Drosophila melanogaster: one gene and its partner. The protein of the gene in region 2 purifies or fractionates together with the protein of the main gene of each other region. This does not show direct contact. Each region holds a gene or a part of one and is shown on either strand. Other genes may lie near its edges.

Region 1 (9,868 bases), about 14 Mb from region 2:
GAAACAATGGTGGATCCCAACCGAAAGATAAACCGTCTGGTCGAAAGGGACCTGAACTTCCTGGAGTCCTGCGAGCTTGAGTTCGCAGACCGCTTCACTGACGACGACCCAGAGTTCATGGCGCACTGCAGCAAGCCTGTGCCGGAGCCGCCAATTGTGGAGAACTGGATGGGAGGTGGCGGAGGAGGAGGCGGCTTCCAGGGCGGAGGAGGCGGTGGTCATCCCTACCACAATCGCTACAACGGACATCGCAGAGGAGGCGGCGACAGGGGCTGGCAGCGACGAGGAGGAGCTGGCTACCACAACAACCAGGACAGGGGATTCAGGGGTAATACCCGGGAAGAAGCTCAGTTTCTATTTATAGCTTACCAACGCATTTGTTCCCACAGACAACCGGCGCAACAACAGATACGATCACATCGATCGCCGGAATCGGTACGAAGGAGGCGGAGGGTCCGGAGGATCTGGAGGCTACAAGCGCTCCCATGATCATAACCAGAGAAATGATACTCCCAATAACGAACCACCCATGAAGGTCAGACGCGACTATGGAAACTTTGTGCCTGCATCCAAGGATTAGTTATCGAATATATCAAATAAGAATACTCTGCATTACATTGAAATATTCACATTGACGTTTATTTAATGGACTTAAGACTATACTAATTCCTGTAATCCCGCTTAAACGGCCGACTCAGATATATCCTTTTGTTCCTTGTCCTCGACAGCCGACATGCCCACGCCCATGGCGCTAAACAGATTGGATACAGGACCTGCGCCGCCAACCTGCGATTGGTAGCTATCCATCATGTTGCGCAGCGTGTTTACGTTTATATTGATGGGCTCAAAGTCCTCAATGTCATCGAAATCGTCCTCGTCCGCCTGTGGAGCTGTCTTCTTCTTGCCGTGGAAGGACTTGCCCACGCTGGTCTGAGCCAACTCGCGGTCCATCTGCTCCATATACGATTGAATCTGTCGATCGAGTGGGAACACACTGCCGCCTCCAGAAAGTGCATTTAGATTACTCTCCATGTCGTCCTCGTCCGCGTAGTCGCTCATCTCCGAGGTGGAGTCCCAGTTGTCCTCGGGTATTACGAAATCCAGGAAATTCCGCACATGGGTGCTGTCCGGTTCCTCCGGCTGGATGACGGAATTGCGCTGGCACGCCTTGCGCATGGAGGGATTCTTCTTGACCTTTGCTGTCAGTCCTGTGGAACCGTTTGCCTGCGGCGGCGGCTCGTCATCGTCTGAGTCCAGTTCTGGCTCCTCGAGCCCTCGGTGCTCAATGCCCTCGTAGTTGGACTGCCGATCTAAGAACTCCGCCAGCTGCTTGGTGAACTCCTCGGCATTCATTTGTCCGTTCGGCTTGTAGAGCTTCTTGGGTCCGTAGCGATCCTGCAGCATGGAGTCTAGATCCTCAGCGCTGATATTCAACCACTCATCCGAGTCGCTGGGCTGCAGGTTGTTCTCCTCATCGCGCAGCTCCTCGGAAGCAGCCTCCGCTGGATGGAGCAACAGGTCGAGGATCTCGGCACCCGCTCTGGAGGCTGTGCGGAAACGCTCCTGGTTGCCACGAAAGTACACCTTGGCCTTGTTCAGCAGCTCCTGGTACTCGGCACTGCCCTCGATGTTGTCCCGGAAGTAGCCCTTGCTCAGCAAGCTCCGCAGATACGATCGCCAGGCAGGAAGGTCCTCCAGCTGTTGGCCCTCAACCCGCTTGGCTTGAGTGGCCAGGATCTCCAGTCCACTGGCCAGCTTCAAGCCCAATAGTTGTTCCTTATATCGTTCCGGCTCGGATACAGGATCCGTGAGATGCCAGCCGAGTCTCTTCTCGGGCAGATACTGCTGGTGCGACAACATGGCGTACAGACAGCGGGTGAAACGCACGTTGGTGCGCACGCGTGTGGCCTCCGGTGGGAAATATCGCATGGTGCGAAGTGCCTTGATGTCCAGCGAGTCCCGCTCGCAGAAAGCCCTAACCGCCGAGGAGAGCAGCCTTGGCTTCTGTTTCAGAAGCTGTGCAGCGCTATGCGGGAGCTCCAGCACCTGGCGATGAATGGAGAAGTGCGGCTGAGCGATCTGGTACTCCTTAAGCCGCGCGTCAATGCACGACTGTATCTCCTGCGAGCAGCGGTACAGGGTGGGATTCATTCGTATACGTTGCACAGCCATGGCCATGGTCAGTGGCTTGTCCTGGCTGCTGGCGGCGGAGTTCTGGAGAAGCTGCAGGTGACCACCGACCAGATAAACGCGCTGCTCGCACGTTTCCGGAGACGCCCAGTCGGGCAGGGCGTCCGCCGCCTCGATGAGCAGGAACTCGCCATCCGAATCGCTCACCCGTGCAATGCAGTCGCCGCGTGCACGTGTGATCTCCGTGAGCAGATAGACAACGAACCACTCGTCGCTGATGTTGTCGCCATAGTGGGTTACGCCGTGGAAGTGCGGTGGGAGGTCGCCTGGGCGGGGACATGGAAATGGATGATTTCGAATTGCAGAAACAAAGCTATTTATAGCACATTGTGCGCATACCCAGTTCCGCCTCCTCCTCCGGGTTTGTCTCCTCGTTCAGCAGGCGCTCCTCGGCGCCGCCCAGCCTCACCTGAAGCTGAAACTCGTCCTTGTGCCACAGATAGCTGCGCTCTAAGGACTTTTCCCTTACAATGGCCGAGATCTCGTTGCGGATCTGAAGCATCAGTTTGCGCAGCGCGCCCTCATCCTGTACGTTGTCGGGGATCTTGGGAAAGATGTAGTACTCCACGAAGTCCTCCTCGCGGACGAACTCCAGATTGCTGCCTGGAATCTTGCTCATCCTTTGTCCTTTTGCTCCTCCTCCTTTTTTTTATTTGTTAGGGCGTTCGAGGTGACACTATCGACATGAGTGCGTGCTTCCGAACTGACTATCGTTCAAAGAAGTTCGTTCACACTGGTCGCGCAGCAGGGTTCCGCTTCAGCAGAGCGGTGGAGGACGTGGCTAAGCGCTTAGCGGTGACCCAACCCATTCCCGTTATTTCTCTCAGCGATTTTTTATGATTGAAGATTAGGTATGAACCGAAGATTAGGCATTAAATTCCTTTACTAAAAGTGCATATTTACAAAAGCTAGCGGTCAGTTTTATTGAAAGAAATGGTATTTAAATATTTACTCGAGAGCACTTTAAAGTGCTCTGAATAAGTCGGCCAAACAAAATCCCGACTTGTTTACACATTAAACACCCACTCCACTTGACACTCCAGCTAGTTGGACCAATTTTTAGTAAATGTCGTTCACTCACCCATCATTGCGGCATTCCGATCCGCGTAGTTGTTGTAATTAGAAACGCCGCTGCGTTTGCCACTTTGCCCAACTCCCATCGCCTTTTCAAAGTTGATAGATAGACAAACAGACACCCAAAAGATATAAAACGCTATCTAAAGTCTGCTATTTCGGGACTTTTATTGCTGTCACCATATGAGTCTGAATCAGACAATCGAAGATTCTCGTGGAAGTTGGACCTAAACTAACCAGAAACAAAGTCCAAAAGGGGAAATACATCGTCATGTTCTTGGAAAGAATACTAGTGAGCGTGGTAGGTAGTTTTTCAGAATAGGATAAACTTAAGTGAATGGCATTTGATTTTTATGTCCCCACCGCCCAACAGTTACTGCTCAACCTGGTGGCTCTGCTTATGGGAGCCACTGTTACCACCCGGCGCATCCAGCCGCGGGAGACAAACTCCTGCGAGGGCCGTCAGAGTCCCGGGCCCATCTGCGAGTCCTGCGAGCTGCTGGCCACCTGCGTGCGTCACTCCAACGGATGGGTGAACATTCCCGTGGAATCGTGCGACGTGGCTAATGGATACTACTGCAACGCCCGGCTGGGGAGCTGCACCAACGAGACGGGCCCGTGTCATCCGTTCGGCATCGAGGGCAACTTTCAGTGCACCTCGCAAGGCATCTTTCCAGATCCGTACGACTGCCAGAAGTACCACATGTGCTACTTCGTGGGGGCCACTCTGGTGGCTGCTGCCGTTGATTGCGGCAACGACAAGGCCTTCGATGCGACGACTGGCCAGTGCACTTTGACCCTGACTGACTCCGTCTGCCTGCAGCGACAGTACTACTGCCCCAATGCCGGACACGTGGCCGCCTGGCCCACCAATCCCAATATCTTCTACGTGTGCAAGTCGACGGTTAACCAGAACCTGAACGACACCATCGTCATCTACCCCTCGCTGCACAGGTGCAACGATGGCGAGACCTTCGTGGACTACGTCTGCCGCAGCGGATCGAATGTCCTGCCGCCCAGCACCGATGATCCTTCGGTGATCATCGAGGATCCCAACGACGACGACTTTTCGGTGCTGCCCAACACCTGTCAGCACGTGGGCTTGATGGCCGATGGAAACGACTGCCGGAAGTACTACTACTGCTCGGCTCTAAATGGCACCCTGCGGCACATGGACTGCCCCAATGGGACTTACTACCGACCGGAGCTATCCTCCTGCGTCCTGGGAAGCTGCTGAGGAAGATGCATTCCTGCACTTTATTTATTCCTCTTCAATGGATTACATTTAATAAACAACTCATGTTTACCCTGGAATAACAATCTATTTGACATGAATTTATGAATTCCCATTTCAAAAGGTATCAGTTTGATAATAAAGATTCAACCACCATGTCCGTGGGTAATTAAACCAGAATGAGTTCTTTGTTTTTTTCCAATAAAAGTGCAATAGAAATGGACTAGTACTGTCTTGGTTCTTTCTTGCTAAGAGTGCTGTGACTAGGTCATAAATGTTCCATAGAATGTTTTTTTCGTGACAACATTGCAGTTTATCTATTAATTATACCGAAACATTCTGCGTTTGGTTGTGAGGTACTATATAAGGCGGAGTGTGAAGAGGTCTACTTAGAAAGTTTGCAACATGGATTCATCTCGCCTGATTATCTGCCTCCTAACTTTTCTGTTGTTTCAAACGGGAAAAGGGTTGGGGAACGGCAGTTATCTGGAGCTCAGATTGGATGCAGCTGCTGAATCCTGTCCAGATGATTACTACTTTAACGAAACTATCCAAGCCTGCGTATCTACAGACACTACCAGCTGTACCAATCACCAAATCGGCAAATGTCCGATGGCCACAGAAATGGACGAGTTTTGCGTGTGCAAAGATAAGCACCTTCAGATCTGGAAATGCCCTGAAGGAACCTACTTCGATGCCAACCGATTGGTCTGCCGGGTGGGAAGCGTTGAGTGCCAGGACGATTATACTCCATCCCCATGTCCTAACAGCACGGCAAGCGATGTCTTCTGCCTCTGCATCGATGGCAAATGGCATCTTAACTACTGTCCAACGGGCTTTACCTTTGATGACGAGCTGCAGATTTGCCTGAACACAGGATCTGATGACGACGAGTTGCCCAGTTCGTCTGGAAAGTGCCAGCGGCTTGGATTGTTTGGTGATCCCGCTGACTGCTCTGGGTACTATCATTGTCGCGAAAAGGGCAGTGATATTGAGTATTTCAGATGCTCGGTAGGAACCATCTTCAATCTAATTTCCTTTGCGTGCGTTACTGGAACTTGTTGACCCAACATATTATAGTTATTGTAGCTAGCCTATCTTGGAATAAAACTGATTAAAACTGATTAAACTATTTTCAATGAATTCCGGATTTATCAGTTCGCAGTTTCGATGATACTCTTCGAATAATTACAATTTTAGCTACGCTTAGTAAGTTTTCTAAATTTATTATTACGTCGTAAAATTTTGGTTCTTTATCAAATCGATAATACCTAGAGAAGCTTATCTGTTTAATTAAGAAAAAGACACTTGCCTGGCTGATTAGGTGGTGCTATAAAAGCTAGTCCCGCAGATGACCCAGCCAACAGTCTTCAAGATGAGGTCTTCAGTACCGGTTTGTCTAATCCTGCTCGCTCTGGCGTTGGGATCGGCGTGGGCTAATGATAATCCCTGCCAGGATGTGCGCATTCCCGGCTTCGTTTGCATGAACTGCACCACCTTGGGCTACTGCATCCGCGATGCCACCGGCAGCTGGGAAACGATTTCGATGCTGGGCTGCCAATCGGAGTACAATTTCTATTGCAGCGACGAGGGTACCTTCGGATGCACCTTCCAGTCGCAGTGCCAGGTGCCCAAGAGAGGTCCCTTCAGCTGTCAGCAGGCGGGCCTGTTCCCGGATCCGTACGACTGTAGGCGGTACCACGAGTGCAGCGATCAGAGTGTGGACACCCCTCGCATCTGCTCCAACGGAGCGGGCTACTCCACACTCACGGGCACTTGTGTTCTGCCACGGGAGAGTGAGCAGTGCATCCAGGAGCAGTTCACCTGCAGTCGGTCGGGACAAGTGGGTGGATGGGCGCCCGACAATCGGTACTTCTACGTCTGCGTCAATGACACGGCCAATTCGCTGTATCCGCTGATGATGAAGTGCCACGAGGGATTCGTTTTCAACAGCTACAGCTGTGTGCCCGACACCAGGAGCATGAGGAGCATTCAGGCGATGGAGTCCCACACGTGCATGAACAACGATAGGTACCAATGCCCCTTCCGAACCTCTGAGATCGAGTACTGCAAGTGCGTCGATGGAGAACTGGAGGTGATGACCTGTCCCGCCGGCTTCCAAATTGATCCTAAGATCCTGACCTGCGTGACTGATAGGATCTATCAGTGCTCGGACTTTGAGATCCTCAGCTGTCCCAATGTCTCCACCAAGGATGAGTACTGCATATGCATCGATCACCAGCTGCAGATCTACAGCTGTCCAATGGGACAGTATTTCAATGCTGAGACTCGAAAGTGCCAATCAGAGTCAGAGTAATGAATTGTTTTCATGGTACCAATATTGATTCAAGTAAATGCCTATTTAAAAAATTGAAATCATTCTGAACATTTTAAGATAAACTACAAATAACTATAAATATTCACCAAAATTTTAATGAGACCCAGTAACGACAACAAATCAGTTTGAATCTTAAGCCTAAGAAAGTGGAGGGATACGGACTCAATCGTCACATTCCCGCACCACAGGATGCAGGACGATCGAGGCTCCGTTGCAGCCCGTGCGATCCGAGATGAAATCGTGGAAGTTGCTCTCCAGCGCCCACATGAATCGCTTGTGACCCGGGAGCACTTGGGTGGACAGCCGGCAGTCGCCTCCCCGCTGCACCTCCTGCAGATTGGCGGCCTTGAAGCAGGTCTCCGAGTCCCACAGGTAAATGTCGTTCTCGCCCTTGTAGCGGAAGAAGAGCGAGGTGCCGCCGTCGGCGCCCAGCAGCACCGCCTGTTTGCCATAGGGCTTGGGGCCCACGTCGATGATGGAGCCCGCTCCCTGGCCAACGCGCAGGTACTCGCCCTTGATGGAGTACAGACGGGGGGAGCTCAGGTAGCTGAAGAACAGGGTGGAGGTGCCGTCCGGCTTCGAGGTGAGCGCCACGTACAGCACATCGCTGGTGGGGGCGGTGGCCTTCGGCAGGACGATGCGGTAGGACTTGTTGCCGGTGATGTCGTATACCAGGATACTACGTGCTCCAGCATCGGCCACATAGCTATGGTTGAAAGTGAAGGAAATATAATGTGGAATGAGATTAGATATCATGTATGCAATACAAATCGATTTTATTTGGTATATGATGAGCCACACTTCTGAGAACTACCTTGAGCAGATAAGATATGAGCCTCAAAGTGGCTAATGCCCTTTTGATTGGCTCAATGATCGCTGATTGAAAGCATGATTGAAAGTGTGTGGTAAAAGTACTCCAAACTCTTGATTCAGTTCGATGATTTCAACGAATATTTTATGACTGCAATATGAATCTCTGAATATCATTGTGCTGATAAATAATGGTTAGTAATAATGGTTAATAATAATGTAATGTGTGGTATTAATTTCATAGTTGATGTATTTCAAAAAGTGATTAAGTACAACTCATTTCACAGATGAAGTTAAGGGTAATAAAAGAGTATAGGCAATGGAACTCACACGAATGGCTTGTTGTCCTTGGAGTAGTCGACCACGATGAACTGCAGCCGACTCTCGGAGGTGACCAGGTCGCTGAGGTCGATGCTCTTGACCACCTTGTGGTTGGCCGTGTTTATGGCCACGATCTTGGGACTGCATCTGCGGATGGGCTGCTCCAGGGTGTTGACAATGCCCACGTCCAAGGCCCACAGAAGTCCCTGCGAACGGAGAAGGCAATTATTAATTGCTATCAATTGCAGCTCGTGTTGATTGTTGTTAATGTTTTCATTTGGCGGCTAATTGAAATGTTGGCGGCGTTAAAAATTCCACATTCGCAAATATGTGGCCATAAAATGAGTATCAGCGAAAAGCACTGAATGGAAAATTGCGCAAATAAATAAATACAGTCGCCTCGTTTGTTTGCCGTTTGTTATTGTTTCGTCGACTTTTGTGTAAATAAAATAAAGAAATGATTTGCATAAATGCAGCTAAACGGGAATGGCATTTAAATGAGAACGATTCGACGCCAACAATAATTGAAGGAAATTATTAAGTTGCAGCTTATGCTCGCAATCGTAAGTAGGTCATGTAAATATTTAATAGCATCATTGTAATATCTGCGAATGCATCTGTCATTTAAAATTAAAGCTGAGAACTTCTGAAGTGCAATCGAAATGCACAAAACACGGCTGGATGGCCTGTTCCCAGCATTTCCAAAATTATTTTCGAGAACTTTTCACTGCATTTGCTTGTCACTTTTCAGCTGCAGTCCTTGTCCTTTATAATATTCCATTTACCCCACAGCTTTTTCGGCGTTTCCGTATCCGTTTATTCTACCCTTAAATTGCTGCCGCCAATTGACGGGCATGAATTTTATTTGGAGCTCTTCACTTTTGTGGCCCCGTTTATTTGATTAAAAAAGTAATATTTGGTCGACAGCGAGGCTAACCAATTAAAAAAGTGCGTCCGGCAAGGGGTTAATGCGAAAACGATACCCTGGAGCTAAACTCCCGATTTTGATCGACTTTGTAAGGGCTAGCAAATATTTAACACTGCGACTGCACATCAATATCAATATCAGAAGATAAACTAAATCATTTTTAGAAAAAAAAAGTGAATAGCCCTAAGAGCATTTCAATGCTACCCTGTAATCCACCCACGATACAAATATGAATTAAACATTTGGTGTGGGTTAAAGTGCTATGCCTCCATGGTGGCCAACAACGAGCAGTCCGTAATTAAAGGCAGAACTGGCAGTTTGGACGAGACAACTTGTCTGACCCCCAAAAAAAAAATGGTCCAAACAATACTGGCGTTAATTGCACTCACATTCTGATCGACGGCTATGTCCACGACGGACTGCAGCGCCTGGCAGTTGCCCTCCTCCTGAATGGCCCAGCAGGGATAGGGTGCGATCTTGGTCAGGCACTCGCCCTTCTTTAGATTGACCTTGCCGAGAGTGAAGGGCACGCCCTGCTTGTACCTGGGCAGCGCCACGAAGGCGGAGTCCCGCTGCAGTTGGGCCCGGGTCACGATCACGTTACGGGGCACATAGCGGCCGGACTGGACGTAGATGTTCTTGGTGGACTCGCAGGGCCAGTGGAGGCTGCTGCCGCTGAGCTGGAAGGTCAGTTCGTTCAGCGGGTTCTTGTCGCACTTGGTGCCGCCAATGGAGTTGGAGGCGTCCGTCGACTCGTCGGTGGAGGAGCTGTATCCCGCGAGGACCACGGAGGCCGAAGCGACGAGGAGCAGCAGTTGCAGCTGCGACATTTTTCGGCGTTTCTTTCTGCGCTTTCCACAAACAGAGCTTCTGCACTCGATTCACCACGTTGGCCAGAACATAAAACTGTCTGAGCGATGGTAGACCTGCATTTATATATAATACCCAACGACTTATGCAGCCAGCATGTGGA
Region 2 (13,070 bases):
CGGGTGTTGATGTTGGTGCCGGACCAGATGGCGGCAATGCCAATGCCAACGTCGAGTTAAATCCGCTGGGACCACTCGGACCCAGTGGTTACAACCAGGAGCAGGCCGCATCCAACGGAGCTGCCCACAGCAACTACAACAATGGACTCAACTCAGGATCCTCGGCCGCCAGTGGGCAGGCTCAGGGCTTCCAGTCGCAGAGTGCCAATGGATCATTCGGTGCCTCCTCCGCAAGCACGGCCACTCAGTCCCAGAACACCAGCCCCTTTGGATCCAATAATGCGGCAGGTGCTTCGCTGAGTCAGGTTTACCATCTTCCCAATGGACAGACAATAAACTTTAGCTCCACGAACAGCTTCGCTAATGGAGGAGCCAATCGTGGCAGTAGCCATGGATCGGCAGTTTCTGTCAGCCGCTAAAAGCCAAGTTCACCATACAGGGAAAATACCTCCAAGTTAATCTATTTGTCAGCAATCCTATGTGCAAATATCTAAAAAATCCAAATAAATATTTATGATTGAATTGAATTTGAATGAATAATTTGAATGATTTTTTTAAAATCTAAACGGTTGCATTTTGATGATCCAGATTACAAATTACAACAAACTTGAATTGTTCCATACGAAATTTAAAAGCTTAAGACAATATAAGAATTGGCACTGTTGACTACAAAATATTTAGATTCTTGGTATCAACCAGCGAAAGAAAGTTGAAAGGTTTTTTTTATTTTGTTTTTTTTTTTTTTTGTACTACTTTATATAATTATCCTCAGTGTATCCTTGTACAATTTGGTTTCTACTAAAGTAGTACACGAATTTATTATTGCTACAATTAATGCGCGTAAATTGTAAAATGATTGATTTTCATTTGTGCAAACATGCCCAACTGATGATCCTAAAGAAAACTAATCTGACTCGCTTTCGCTTTCCGACTGGAAGTCACCCACTTCGATGGAAAACTTGTACTCCTGATCACAACCCAAATAGGAATCGCTCATGTAGTACAGAGTGTAGTCGTGTTTGCCCGGACTAGGTGCCACAAAGTCCAGCTTGACCTTTGCCTTTTGCTGCAGCGTGAGCCGTTTGATGGAGAGCAGGGAGTTGGTCTTGGGATCACCTATGACGACCCACCATCCTTCTTCGCGCTTCTGCGGGAAGAATGGAGCAATGACTGGGCCAGTGACCTCATCCTCACGTTCCAGTTGAACCACTACATTAACGGTTGATCCTGAGTTGATGCGATCCTTGTCCACCACCTCATAGTTCAGCTCAATGTTGGGGTAACGGTTGCAGAATCGAGCAACATCGGCCATTTGTAAATCGGAGAGCTGCAGCAGGCGAGTGCGATCCTCGTCCTCCAATTCCATGATATCGAAAACGGTTTCGATTTTCTGAAATATACGACGAAACATGAGATAATCCTAGAGATTCACTTGTTGTTACTCTCACCTTCTCTGTGCACCGCTTGACAATCTCGGGACTAAAGTGCGGCAACTGTTTCAAGTACGAGTCCTTGCTCCACATGGCCTGCGTGACCATCTGAGCCAGCTCCATGGCAGCCACAGCCGGCGACAGCCAGCCATTTGAACTCAGCACATCTACGCAGGCCTGAATGAGGCGGATGGCCTTGCTCAGTATCTGCTCCGTATCGCCTTGCAGTTCAGGTCCCAGTTGCAATCGCGAAAGATGAGCCTGAAGCAGCAAATTGGTCTTGATGTGCGGATCATTGAATCTAAAAATAACATTGGTAAAATTCTTTTTAAGATCTAAATGTATGGGTTGCTTACTTTGGAGCCGTTTCATTGGGTCCTGTGAGTTTGTTGGGCAGTCGCTGAGACAGCGTGCGCAGAACCTGCTCCTCATGATGCCTGACCACAACATCCTCGTACTCAGCTGCCGATGAAATAATTTCCAGCAGGCCCCGCACTTTTGTTTTGCTGTTGAGGGACAAACTGAAGAGCTCTGGGAAAAAATGATAGGAAAATGAAGATGACAATTGCCTAAACTTAAATCTAATGCTTCATACCGATAGTTGTGTAGTTGATGTAATAGTAGGCAGCAATCATGCCCAGATTGAGTGGCAGCGTGTCCATATCATCCTCCACGCTAATACACTTGGACTGTTCTAGATCGCTCAGCGTATTCTCCACCAACTCCGAAAGATGGTCGGAGAGATGGCGATGCGTGACACCCTGCAGATTGTAGTAGTTGGGATTTTGGGTCAATCGTCTGTAGAGGAACGTCCAGGTGAGATAATCAACGGCATCCTGTTTGTTCTCAATTGTCTTGGTGACCACCTCGGCGTTAAAGTGATCATGCATTCTATGATCCAAATGACTTTCGATGGGCAGCGGCTCGTTGATGAATTTCTTAAAGAAGTCCTTCTTGCTGCTCTGGCACATCAGCACGCATTTGGCATCCGCATCCTCGTTCGGCCGATTGGCTCGACCAATCATTTGCAGCACGTCTGTAATGGGATAGTCCTCATACGAATGATTCTTGCCATTGTAAAATTGTGTGTCCATGATGATCACCAAGTGAGCGGAGATGCTCATGCCCCAGCAAAGGTCTCTGGAGATAACAGCTACTTGCACGGCGCCAGAGTCAAACAGCTGCTCCACCAGGCGATGATCTGAGGCGGATAGGCCCTCATGGAGATAGGCCACTCCTTGCGCTAGGGTCTCCTTCAAAGTTTTATCCGTCATTCGTTCGAGGAACGGCTTGATGTCCTCCTCCTCAGCATGGAAAAAACGGTTGGGTTGCAAATCCGATGCTGCGTAGGTCAAAACATCAATTGCAGTGAGCCTGGCCTGCTTTCTGGACGAGACAAACACAATCACCGGCTTGTGGGCGCTGTACTTGAGGATGGCATTGTAAACAGGCTTGGACATCGTAGCAATTCTGGTGGCGTTGTGAGTGACATTATAGCCCTGGATGTGCAGCTCCAACGGAATGGGACGCACGCTGGGGTGGAAATTGAAAGTGGCATTGGGATTACAGCCCAGCCACTGGGCGACATCCCTGGCATCCGTTAGCGATGCAGACAACGCCACTATTCTGATCTGTTTCTCAATCTGCGAGCTAATGTATCGCATCCTGGAGCATACAATTTCCAAAACGGGACCTTCTTCGCCACCAACCAACTGCAGTTCGTCCACAATGAACAGGTTCACCAATTGTACGTTCTTCCTCTGTTTCCATCTGCGAGACAACACATCCCACTTATCCGCAGTAGTGATCACCAGCTGTCCCTTGGCTATGAGCTTAAGATCGGTTCCAGTTTCGCCGGTCAATTTAACCACTTTTATGTCCAGGGATCCAAATTTGCTATGCCAATCCGCAAAAACTAAGTCCGCCAATGCCTCCTCCGAGACCAAATATACACATCGGGCATCGGATTGGGTAGTGAACAAGCGCATGATGGCAAACTCTGCAATAGTCATCTTTCCGGATCCGGTTGGTGCTCCAACAAAGACATTCTCATCACTATTGTAGACTGCGTTGAAGACCTGTGTCTGAATGGGATTGAATTGCGGGAAGCGTTGCGAATAAAAGGATTCAAACTTCGGCTGCCGGAGTGCACTAATAGGAAGCGGTTGGAGATCCAAAAGCTCCGTAGGTGGCATATTCTTCTCGGGCAGAATCAAGTGTCGGAAAGAAACTGGTAATTGGGTCTCTGCACCTATCCAACGATCTGAGACAATGCGAAGGAAGTACTGCGGTGGCAGAGGTTCAAAGACAGGCACAAAGAACTTAAGCTGGTGCTCATCTTGGGAATACTTCTGCTTCAGCAGGAAAAACTCATGATGGAGAATGAGTTCCGAGTCGACATCTTCAATTAAAACCCAGAAACCTTCCGACTGGCCATGCACCTTTTCATCCCATTGGAAATCCGGTGTAATTGTTAGTTCCACTCTCAGAGTTCCCCTTGTTATGGGTTGAATGTGCGTGGAGAGCTCCAATTTGGGGAACTGGTGCACAAACTTGTGGATGGTCTTTCCTAGCTTGGGCACTCTAATCAGCTCACCAAGTTCATGTGGCTCTAGATCGTAAAGCCTGCCCCAGGGGAAGTGTTTTTTCTCCAGCTTCTTGGCAATCTCATCGGGCATCTTCTTGAACTGCCTAAGTGGTGTCATCGATTGCCACATTCTTCTGTCGATCATCTTGCAGAGCGTCAACGTTTTGTCCGCCAATTGAGCCCATCCGCGGGTCAATACAATCTCAAAAATGGCTCTCATTAAACGGGCAGCGGATTGGGTAATAAACACCATGTCCGACATCAATGCAAAGCCCTCCAGTTTCAACTGGGAGATATAGGCTTGCAGCAAAACATTCACCTTGGCACTGTGCTCTTCAATGGACTCCTTAATGGGAATGGGCACTCGTTCCATGAGCTTCTGCAGCTCCAACTTTTCCTCTTCTCGGACGGAAATATGCCGGAATTCCGAGGATAGGGAGAATACGCGGAACAACTCAATCTCACTAAGAGTTTGCTTAAGGAGCTGGTTGTAAGTCAGCATGGTTTCATGGGTTAGGTAATAGTGAGAGGCAATGCGTCCCAGATCAGTAACCTGAAAGTGTCCCGTCTTCCGATCGTATTTAATAAGGCCACTTCTCTCCAGACAGCAAGCTGCGGTATGCAGGAGATCAGCACGATGCTGTTCCAACAGAGGATCAGCCTTGATGGCATCATGGGAAACTCCGTACAACGTGGGATTCCTCAGCATTCTAATGTACAGATAAGTGTAGCCCAACCAGTTAACTGCATCCTGGAGATGTTGGACCGTTCCTAGCACAATCTCCGCATTGAGCATGTCAGGAAGCTTGGAGATGAATTGGGACTCAATCGGCAACTGCTGGTTGAGCAAGGAGAGATAGAACTGCAACTCACTGTGATTGGTTATAAGAATACCCTCACCCTTGGTATCATACTGCGGTCGTCCAGCACGACCCAACATCTGCAGTACATCCAAAGCACTCAGCTCCACCCAACGTCCTTTTTCCGGATTGTATACCTGCGTGCCCTTGATGATTACAGTATGGGCAGGGAGATTGACACCCCAAGCTAGCGTGGCGGTGGAAACCAAAACTTGAATGTGCCGATCAGCAAATAGATCTTCCACCAAAGTACGATCGACGCGGGTCATTCCAGCATGATGAATGGCGAAGCCGTAGGGCAATAACTCCTTAAGCTCTGTGTTCTTTACTTGTTCGGCTTCAGTCCGCAGCACTTCCATGCTTGCTGATCCTTCCTTAAGAAAGCTACCAAGGGTATCCTGCTCCAGGCACATGTCCCTCACAGCCCTGGCCGTTTTTCCAGTCTCCTTGCGCGAGTGTACGAAGACCAGGACCTGATTACGCCCAGCATGCTCCATGGTCTTCTCATAAACGATCTCGTTCATCACCTGGAATCGCTTTAGGGCCTTCTTCTCCGTCACACCGATATACTGCTGCTCCAGGGACACAGGCCGATAGCTGTTATCAAAGTAGAAGAGGCCTTTATCGGGCTTTACGCGTAGGAAGGTGGCCACGTCCTGATAGTTGGGCAGTGTGGCAGATAAGCCCACCAATCGCACCTCCTCCTGGGTAGTTTCAATATTCCTTATCGTACGCGCCACCAGGGCCTCAAGCACCGGACCACGCTCGTCGTGGAGCAAGTGAATCTCATCGATGATAACCAACCGGACTAAGCTCACAAAGGTACGCTCGCCTCCCTTTCGAGTGATGATATCCCACTTCTCTGGTGTGCACACAATCACCTGCGTGGCGGCGATCTGTTCCCTGGTCAGCTGGTGATCTCCAGTCAACTCAGAGACCGTCAGATTATAGCAAGCAAGACGTCGTCCAAAATTGCCAACCATTTCCTGCACCAGCGATTTCATGGGAGCCACGTAAATGATTTTGAAATCCTGCGCATTGATGGTGCCATCCTCGTTGATGTGCTTTCCAATCTCCCGCATCATGGTTAGCAGTGCCACATTAGTTTTACCAGCTCCAGTAGGGGCGCACAGCAGCATATTCTCATCACTGTCCAGTGCGGCCTTGTACAAACGACTTTGGATACGATTAAGGGTCTTGAAACCCTCGAACACAGGCTGCACATATTTCGGAAGCTTGTCCACAGGCTGAAGTTCCTCATTGGCATCAAATGGCACGGGTTTCAGTGCAGGCACGTGCACCTCCTCGTAGCCCTTTCGTTGTTTCCTGTAGGAGCCGTCGGGAAGCTGACAGCGCTTGTTGGCCATAAAGTGAGATCCTTGAGTGAATGCCATCTCTTCCAACTCGAGTAGCTGTCGCACACCGGCCACCTGCCCGGCAGCCGCCGCTCCACCATCCTCTGCATCGCCTTTGCCACGCTTGCTTCCCCGTGCTTCGCCCTCCTCCTGATCCTCTGACTTTCCCGTATCCAATTGCCGAAGGATTTTGGCCAACGCAGAATTTCCGCGCATCTTCTCGCGAATCCTTTGCCGCTCGCTGTCCGTTTGGGCCGAGGCGAGCATGGTGCAGTACAGGACCATCTGCCGGTTAAGCTTCAATTGCTTAATGAAGTCAAAGCAATCGTAGCCCAGCAGAAGCACCAATTGATTTTCGCAATCGCGATCGTCGGCGGCATCTTTGAGGATCTTCAACACATCGGCGGCTTTGCTTTGCGACACCATGGCGTCCTTGTAGAACTTGCTCAGACAACGCTGCAACCAATACGCATCTATGTCCAGAGGATGCAAGGAGCGCTCTTTCTTTACATTATTTGCGGCTTCCTCGTTGGCTAGCTGGGAAGGGATACACGAATAAGAAATGGGATTCGCAATTTTAACTACATTACTCACATTCTCTGCATGCAGTGTGTGATCAATGCGGGCCTCCTCTCCTTCATCCTGGGCATCATCGTCGCGAATCTCGCCATACATGTCGTTGTCGCTCTCCTCTTCGGATTCCTCAAACTGAACATTGATGCCGTAGGTTTCATCGATCTGCTCCTCGTTGTTGGGAGCAGCAGTCAAAGCATTCACGGCATCGCTGCCAAAGTCTGTGATTTTTTTGCCCAGGTTAACCAGCAGAGCGAATCGCTCATCTGTAACTGCGCCCAGCAAGCTGTCTATATCCTTCTTTCGCTCCCGATCCTTTAAACGATCGTTCTTGAGGACAGCCAGAATCTCATCAGCGGCACCGCACAGGATATCCCTGGGCTGATCCCCCAGAGCCTCCTGGATGAAACTGAGCAGGACCTCGTAGGTCTGACGAGTTTCCTGGGTCTTGGGTCGATACACAATGCCCACCATCTCGTCAATGCCCTCGGAGAGCAGAGTGGCTCCCTTCATCCGCTCGAAATCGTACTGGGCCTCGTCGCGCTTCTGACGTTTCACCTTGCGCTCCTCCGTTTTCTCCGGCTTCGTTCGCTGGTACCGATCTCCCATCCTTGTTCCGTCCAGCTTTCCCACCAGGGAACACACCTCGCCAGTGGCCTCATCGCGGCGCGGACGTTCGATGAGTCGGACATCGGCTTGCAGCACAAGATTGGAGTTCTGAAAAATGGAAAATACATTTAACGTGTTTGTGAAATTCTGGTGAGACGCCGCATGGAGTGGGAGAAGTTTTCCCGGGCGGGATTTGACACTTACCGCCTTGTACTCGTATTGCAGCTGACGTGCTGCGGCATCCGCCATGTCTGTTTAGTTGTTTTTATAAGTATTAAGCACTTTTATTAACCTATTTTACAACTTTTTGCGGAAATATCGTAGTGAAAAGCCGCTGTTTGTGGCTACGCGTGCTGCCAGATTGTCAAAAGGCTAAAGAGATGCCATATGTGCGAAGCCAACTGAAAATCGATATCAGGGCTGCCATTTGTAGGAAACCTATCGTTAGCGCGCGCATCTAAGTTTTTAAAAATGTAGCCCATCAACATTCTATTTAAAATTTGAATACTGGTTTTTTAGCTTTTGTAAACACCAAAATTTCCTACGCACTAGCAATCCACAAAAGAAATTGCTATAAATTTGACCATAATTCTCATAATTGAGATATATCTAGTATATTTTAAGTTCCGAACTGCGGCTTCGGTCACACTGGCGGCGACGTCGGCAGCGATGCCGACGTCTATTTACAACGCATCGTTTTGTTTATTGTTCAGTCAGATCAGAGTAATGTGCTTATATATGAGGCTGCAGCTGGTTTAACTGGAAACATTTGTGGTCCGTCGACTGCTCGAGATCATTGTACACGGCTGACACAATTCATTACAAAGCAATCGAAGGTAAACCAGTGAAGAGGAACAAGTGCCAGCATGCTGCTGCCCCCGTACCAAGAAGCCTGCAATCCCGGCTTCTGTGATTGCCCGTTTCCCAACTCCATTGAGGTTACCAACCACAAGGGCCATATACCCGACCTGGTCAGGTGCCAATGCGGCGAGGATGAGTCCGGAAACGTGAATGCCTGGCGGTGGCACGCCACTGATGAATCGGATGCCGTGGTCACCGACCGGGACATCATCTTCCATCCCACCTACAGTCAGGGCACGGCGATTGTGAGAGGGGAACAGGCCCTAAAAACAAACATGGTGCACTTTTGGGAGATGCGCGTCATCACGACTCTGGCCGGCACGGATGTGGTTAGTTATCAGGCCGGCTTGGCAACTAGTTGGGATGCTCAGCATGATGAATGTCACTCAAAGTCGCCGCCTTAAAATAGAACACAACTAACCAGGCATCTGGTGTGCTCGTTTCCATTGGAGACGACTTGATTGTTCGCTTCGTTGTATTATGGATTACAGATTACAACGCGGCGATAAGATAACAGACGCAGCGGGAGGAGGAAATCTCAGCAGACACCCCAACTAGATGATAAGCCAGCTAAAGTTCAATGTAAATAATGTTCTCTTTATAATTGCCTTTCTTTTCTTATAACTTTTCCTAGATGTTCGGCATCGGCACGGAAAGCGTTAATCTAGGGCAGTTCAAGTTTCACTTTGTCTCGGCCCTGGGCACCAATGCCCAGTCCTGGGGCTTTTCGTATTCCGGAAGGATTCAGCACTGTGGCGAGTTACTGCCCTACGGCCAGAAGTTCTCGCAGGGCTGCTTGATTGGTGTCTGTTTGGATCGAACGCGTGGGCACTTGGAGTTCTATTTGAACCGCAGATCGCTGGGAGTGGCCTACACCAATGTCCCGACGGATCCGGATGTCAAAATATATCCCATGGTCTGCTCCACAGCCGCGAAGTCCGTAATTAGGCTGATCAACTGCACTTCGCAACCAGTCACACTGCAGCTGCGATCTTTCCAAGCATTGTCCAGGCAGCCGCTCAAATTGGCCGAACTGCGTCAAATGCCGGGTCTCAAAGGCATCATGCAATCCTACTGGTTCCTGGCACCGCCAATTCGTTACTCCCGGAACTCCCGCGAAAACGAATTGGATCTGGGCGACGAAGCAGTGCTCTCAAGCTCCAAGCAACGGTTGAGGCGCAAACAAAAGTACCGAGGTGAGGTCACGAAGTTACGTCCACTATCATTTCTGCCACATCACTTTTGCAATTTCAATTAATAGAAACCGACGATGCGGCTGTTGATGAGGACGACTTGTACGCCAATGCACACAAAATCACGTTGCGAAGCAGTGATAGCGGCGACGAGGAGCACACCGCTAGTGTCCACGAGATGTGCGACGAGTACTTCCACTACCTGCTTTAGTCTTACCAAGCATATCAATATGTTTAAGTATGCATTTATTTGAAGGAGCTTAGTTATAAATGTAATAAGTAGAAATGCTGAAGCTAATTTTAATTACTGTAAGACTTCCTAAAATACAACTTATTAATTAAACGAAACATCATAATTTTCCCATTTTGATATATTTAAAACCATTTCCTTTATACGCTAGCAGCGATGTATTCATTTAGGTACCGATTTAAATAAGATCTTTGTTACTAATTCCAGCCTGGTCTAGGTTGAACAATCTCTCAAGGAGCAATCCGCCGTCCATTAATGACAAGTTTTTCGATTTACTTTATGTTAGGTATGCATTTATTTTAAAGCACATAATTATACAATCAATAGAATTGGGAGAAATAAATGGTGTGTGCGAAAATAATTGAATAGGAAACTTAATCGAGAACCTACAACTAGAAAATTAGTATAGATAAAAGTGATAGCATGATAGGTTAGATGGTTAAAAAAACCCGTAGGCTAGGGTTTTGGTAAGCATCGTCCTTGAAAGTAAAACTTAAACTAATTAATAATCAATTGCCCATGCCTTCGACATCCGACGATCCGCGCTTGAAGATCACTCCCAACGGTAGCTAGTCCATGTCATCGTCGTCATCGTCTGAAATAGTGTACTTCTTTTGGGAGCGCTTGCGACGCGTCTGCTTCTTGGATGTGGTAGCCGCTCCGCTGCTCACATTCGACGATGATTGCGTGGGCGTAGCGGGCGCACTAGCCAGAGATTTGTTCAGTTTCAGCTTCATTTTGACAGCCGCCGCTGAAGTGGTTGCAATCTCCTCGTCGTCGGAGCCGTCATCGCCACCATCGTCGTCGTCGTTGTCCGAATTATCCGAACCTCCATTGCCGTGCGCTTCACCCGTGTTATCTCCGGCTGCCACTGCGGCTGCATCCGCTGCAGCTGTTATCCTCTGCCTGGCCCCAACGAATACCTTTTGCAGGGCAATCGAGTCCAGGTAAATCAGAGACGCCTCTTCGTTGTAGATCTGTGCATTCTGGCATAGCTGCATAAAGTCCTTCTCCAGCTCGTTGAGATCGGCATACTTGCAGTCCTCAATGCGCTGCAGGATTTTCTTAATATCAACTGGCCGCTTAATGATCTCGTAGTAGTCGGGCAACCTCTGCCGCGAAGGCAACTTCATGAACGGTTCGGACAGGGTTCGTCCATCTTGGTTGTGCTTGATAACCGCACTCATAATCTTGTGCATCTGCTTCTTGGACCGCTTGTCCAGATTTTGGCGTCGTCGCCGTTTTAGGATCAACGAATCATCGTCGGACTCTTCCTTCCGATTCTTACGCTTTCGTCGCTTGCGCTTCGAATCGTCTTCCTCCTCTTCCTCGTCGAACTCAGCGCCATCGTCGATGGCTTTCAGCCACTCCTTTTCAGTCAAACTATCGGTGTAGTCTACTTCCTTTCGCTGCCGGGAGCCTCGACCTAAGGCGGAATAGTTATCGTAAGAAAAATGTTTAAATAACAGCGAGCAGTGTAACTCACCTAGAATGGTATCCTCGTCGTACTGATAGTGGAAACGCTCTACTTCGTCATCATCCTTTGTCAACCAGTCGGGTAGCTCGGACTCATCGATCAGACGTTCCCTACCCGGATGGATCTCCTCATCCTCCTTCTTGCGCTCAGCATCCATGCGCTTAAATATTTCAATCTCCTCCTCGCTGCGGGCGATCATCATGTTGATCATTTCGTCATCGGGCACCTCATTTTCCTCCTCCTCTTCGTTGTCATCCTGGTGCAGAATCGTTTGTAGGAACTGCTGTCGCTCGCTACCCGTTGACTTCTGATCGAACATACCAGCCTGGATGACCTTCTCGTCCATGTTCAGCTTGTACCTGGCTGCTGCCAAGATGCGCTCTTCCACCGAGTTGACTGTCATTAGTCGCAGGACGCGCACCTCGTTACGTTGACCAATACGATGGGCACGATCCTGGGCTTGCAGATCCTGATGGGGATTCCAATCGGAGTCGAAGATTACTACAGTATCGGCGGTCTGCAGATTAAGACCCAAACCACCAGCTCGGGTAGATAGCAAAAAGACAAATACATCCGAGCCTTTGGCGTTGAATTTTCGCAGTAGTTCGCCACGATCCTCGGCCTTCGTGGTACCGTCGAGTCGAAGGTAGCCGAATTGGCGCCATCCCAGGTAGTCTTCGATGATGGTCATGCATTGGGTCATCTGACAGAAGAGCAGCACGCGATGATTGGTCGCCTTCAGCTTGGGCAGGATGCGATCAAGCAGCTCGAATTTGCCAGAGACACGATACAGATCCGGTCCTTTAATTTGAAAAAGATTAGATTATACCAATGTAAATATAAATATACCAAAAAATTAACAAGATAAACTTACCGGATACAACTCCGTGGCCGCCAGTGTGATCGCAGTACTTCTCTTCTATGTGCTGGAACATAAACGGATGGTTGCACAGCTTGCGCAGCTGTACGATCGTGTTCATCAGCGCCTTAGCGCCTCCCTTGCCGTGCTTGCCCTTCTCGGAACCATCGGTGAGCAGGACACCCTTGCTCTGCATGTGCTTGTAGAGAACGCGTTGCAGCGCGGACATGTCGCACTTGATGATGTACTCGACCTTGTCGGGCAGCTGGTGCTCTACCTCCTTTTTGAGGCGACGCAACAGGAAAGGACGAAGAACCTTGTGCAGACGACGAATGATAAGGATGGTCTCCTCCTCGTTTAGCTCGACCTTCTCGCCAGTGGTGGCAAATGGCGCATTGAACCACTGTTCAAATGTGGAGCAGGACTTAAAGATCGAGGGCAGCAGGAAATTAAGTAGCGCCCACAACTCGGGAAGCTTGTTTTGCAGAGGTGTACCCGTGAGAAGTAACCGATAGGGGGCAATGTAGTGGGTGTTCAGCACCTGGGTGAGTTTGCAGTGATGGTTCTTCATGCGGTGACCCTCGTCGATAATCATGTATTTCCACTGGATCTTGGCCAGCACCGCCTTGTCCTTAATCACGTACTCATATGTGGTTAACAGCACATTGAACTTGGTTGCTCTCATTTGATTTTGCAGCAATCGCCTTCCCTGCGGACTGCCCTTGTAGCTGACTACACCCACGGCTGGCGCCCACTTCTCGAATTCCAGCACCCAATTGGGCAGGGTGGAGAGTGGTACAATAATCAAGTAAGGACCCATAACCTTCTTTCGATCCATAAGGTAGGTTACCAGCGAAATGGTTTGAATGGTTTTACCCAAACCCATTTCATCGGCCAAAATACCATTTAGATTGTTATTGTACAGCGAAACCAACCACTCCAAGCCTTTGATCTGGTATTCCTTGAGCGTACCATTAACCATGATGCTGGCCTGCTCCACAACCTTTTCATGAATG

Evidence for each region.
Region 1: the proteins of Brr2 (region 2) and ecd purify together in Drosophila melanogaster (affinity purification with mass spectrometry; 2 studies listed by BioGRID, with this or other methods). This does not show direct contact.

What each region holds. Positions count from the first base shown.
Region 1 is NT_037436.4:2,262,967-2,272,834, forward strand, and holds ecd (ecdysoneless), read right to left. Parts: upstream 2,892-9,868; 5' UTR 2,810-2,891; coding exon 2,530-2,809; intron 2,457-2,529; coding exon 682-2,456; 3' UTR 615-681; downstream 1-614. Other genes in the region: CG13807 (uncharacterized protein), read left to right, coding at 7-328, 390-580; CG13806 (uncharacterized protein), read left to right, coding at 3,536-3,565, 3,638-4,501; obst-I (obstructor-I), read left to right, coding at 4,904-5,563; CG32302 (uncharacterized protein), read left to right, coding at 5,874-6,815; yellow-g, read right to left, coding at 6,999-7,542, 7,977-8,173, 9,285-9,725. UniProt on the Drosophila melanogaster protein: Required in both the follicle cells and the germline for oocyte development.
Region 2 is NT_037436.4:15,960,090-15,973,159, forward strand, and holds Brr2 (Brr2 U5 snRNP complex subunit), read right to left. Parts: upstream 7,784-13,070; 5' UTR 7,664-7,783; coding exon 7,619-7,663; intron 7,523-7,618; coding exon 6,827-7,522; intron 6,770-6,826; coding exon 2,026-6,769; intron 1,962-2,025; coding exon 1,787-1,961; intron 1,732-1,786; coding exon 1,449-1,731; intron 1,391-1,448; coding exon 905-1,390; 3' UTR 747-904; downstream 1-746. Other genes in the region: CG17032 (uncharacterized protein), read left to right, coding at 1-419; CG10516 (uncharacterized protein), read left to right, coding at 8,281-8,604, 8,910-9,471, 9,537-9,679; brm (brahma), read right to left, coding at 10,288-11,144, 11,205-11,996, 12,070-13,070. UniProt on the Drosophila melanogaster protein: Catalyzes the ATP-dependent unwinding of U4/U6 RNA duplices, an essential step in the assembly of a catalytically active spliceosome. Plays a role in pre-mRNA splicing.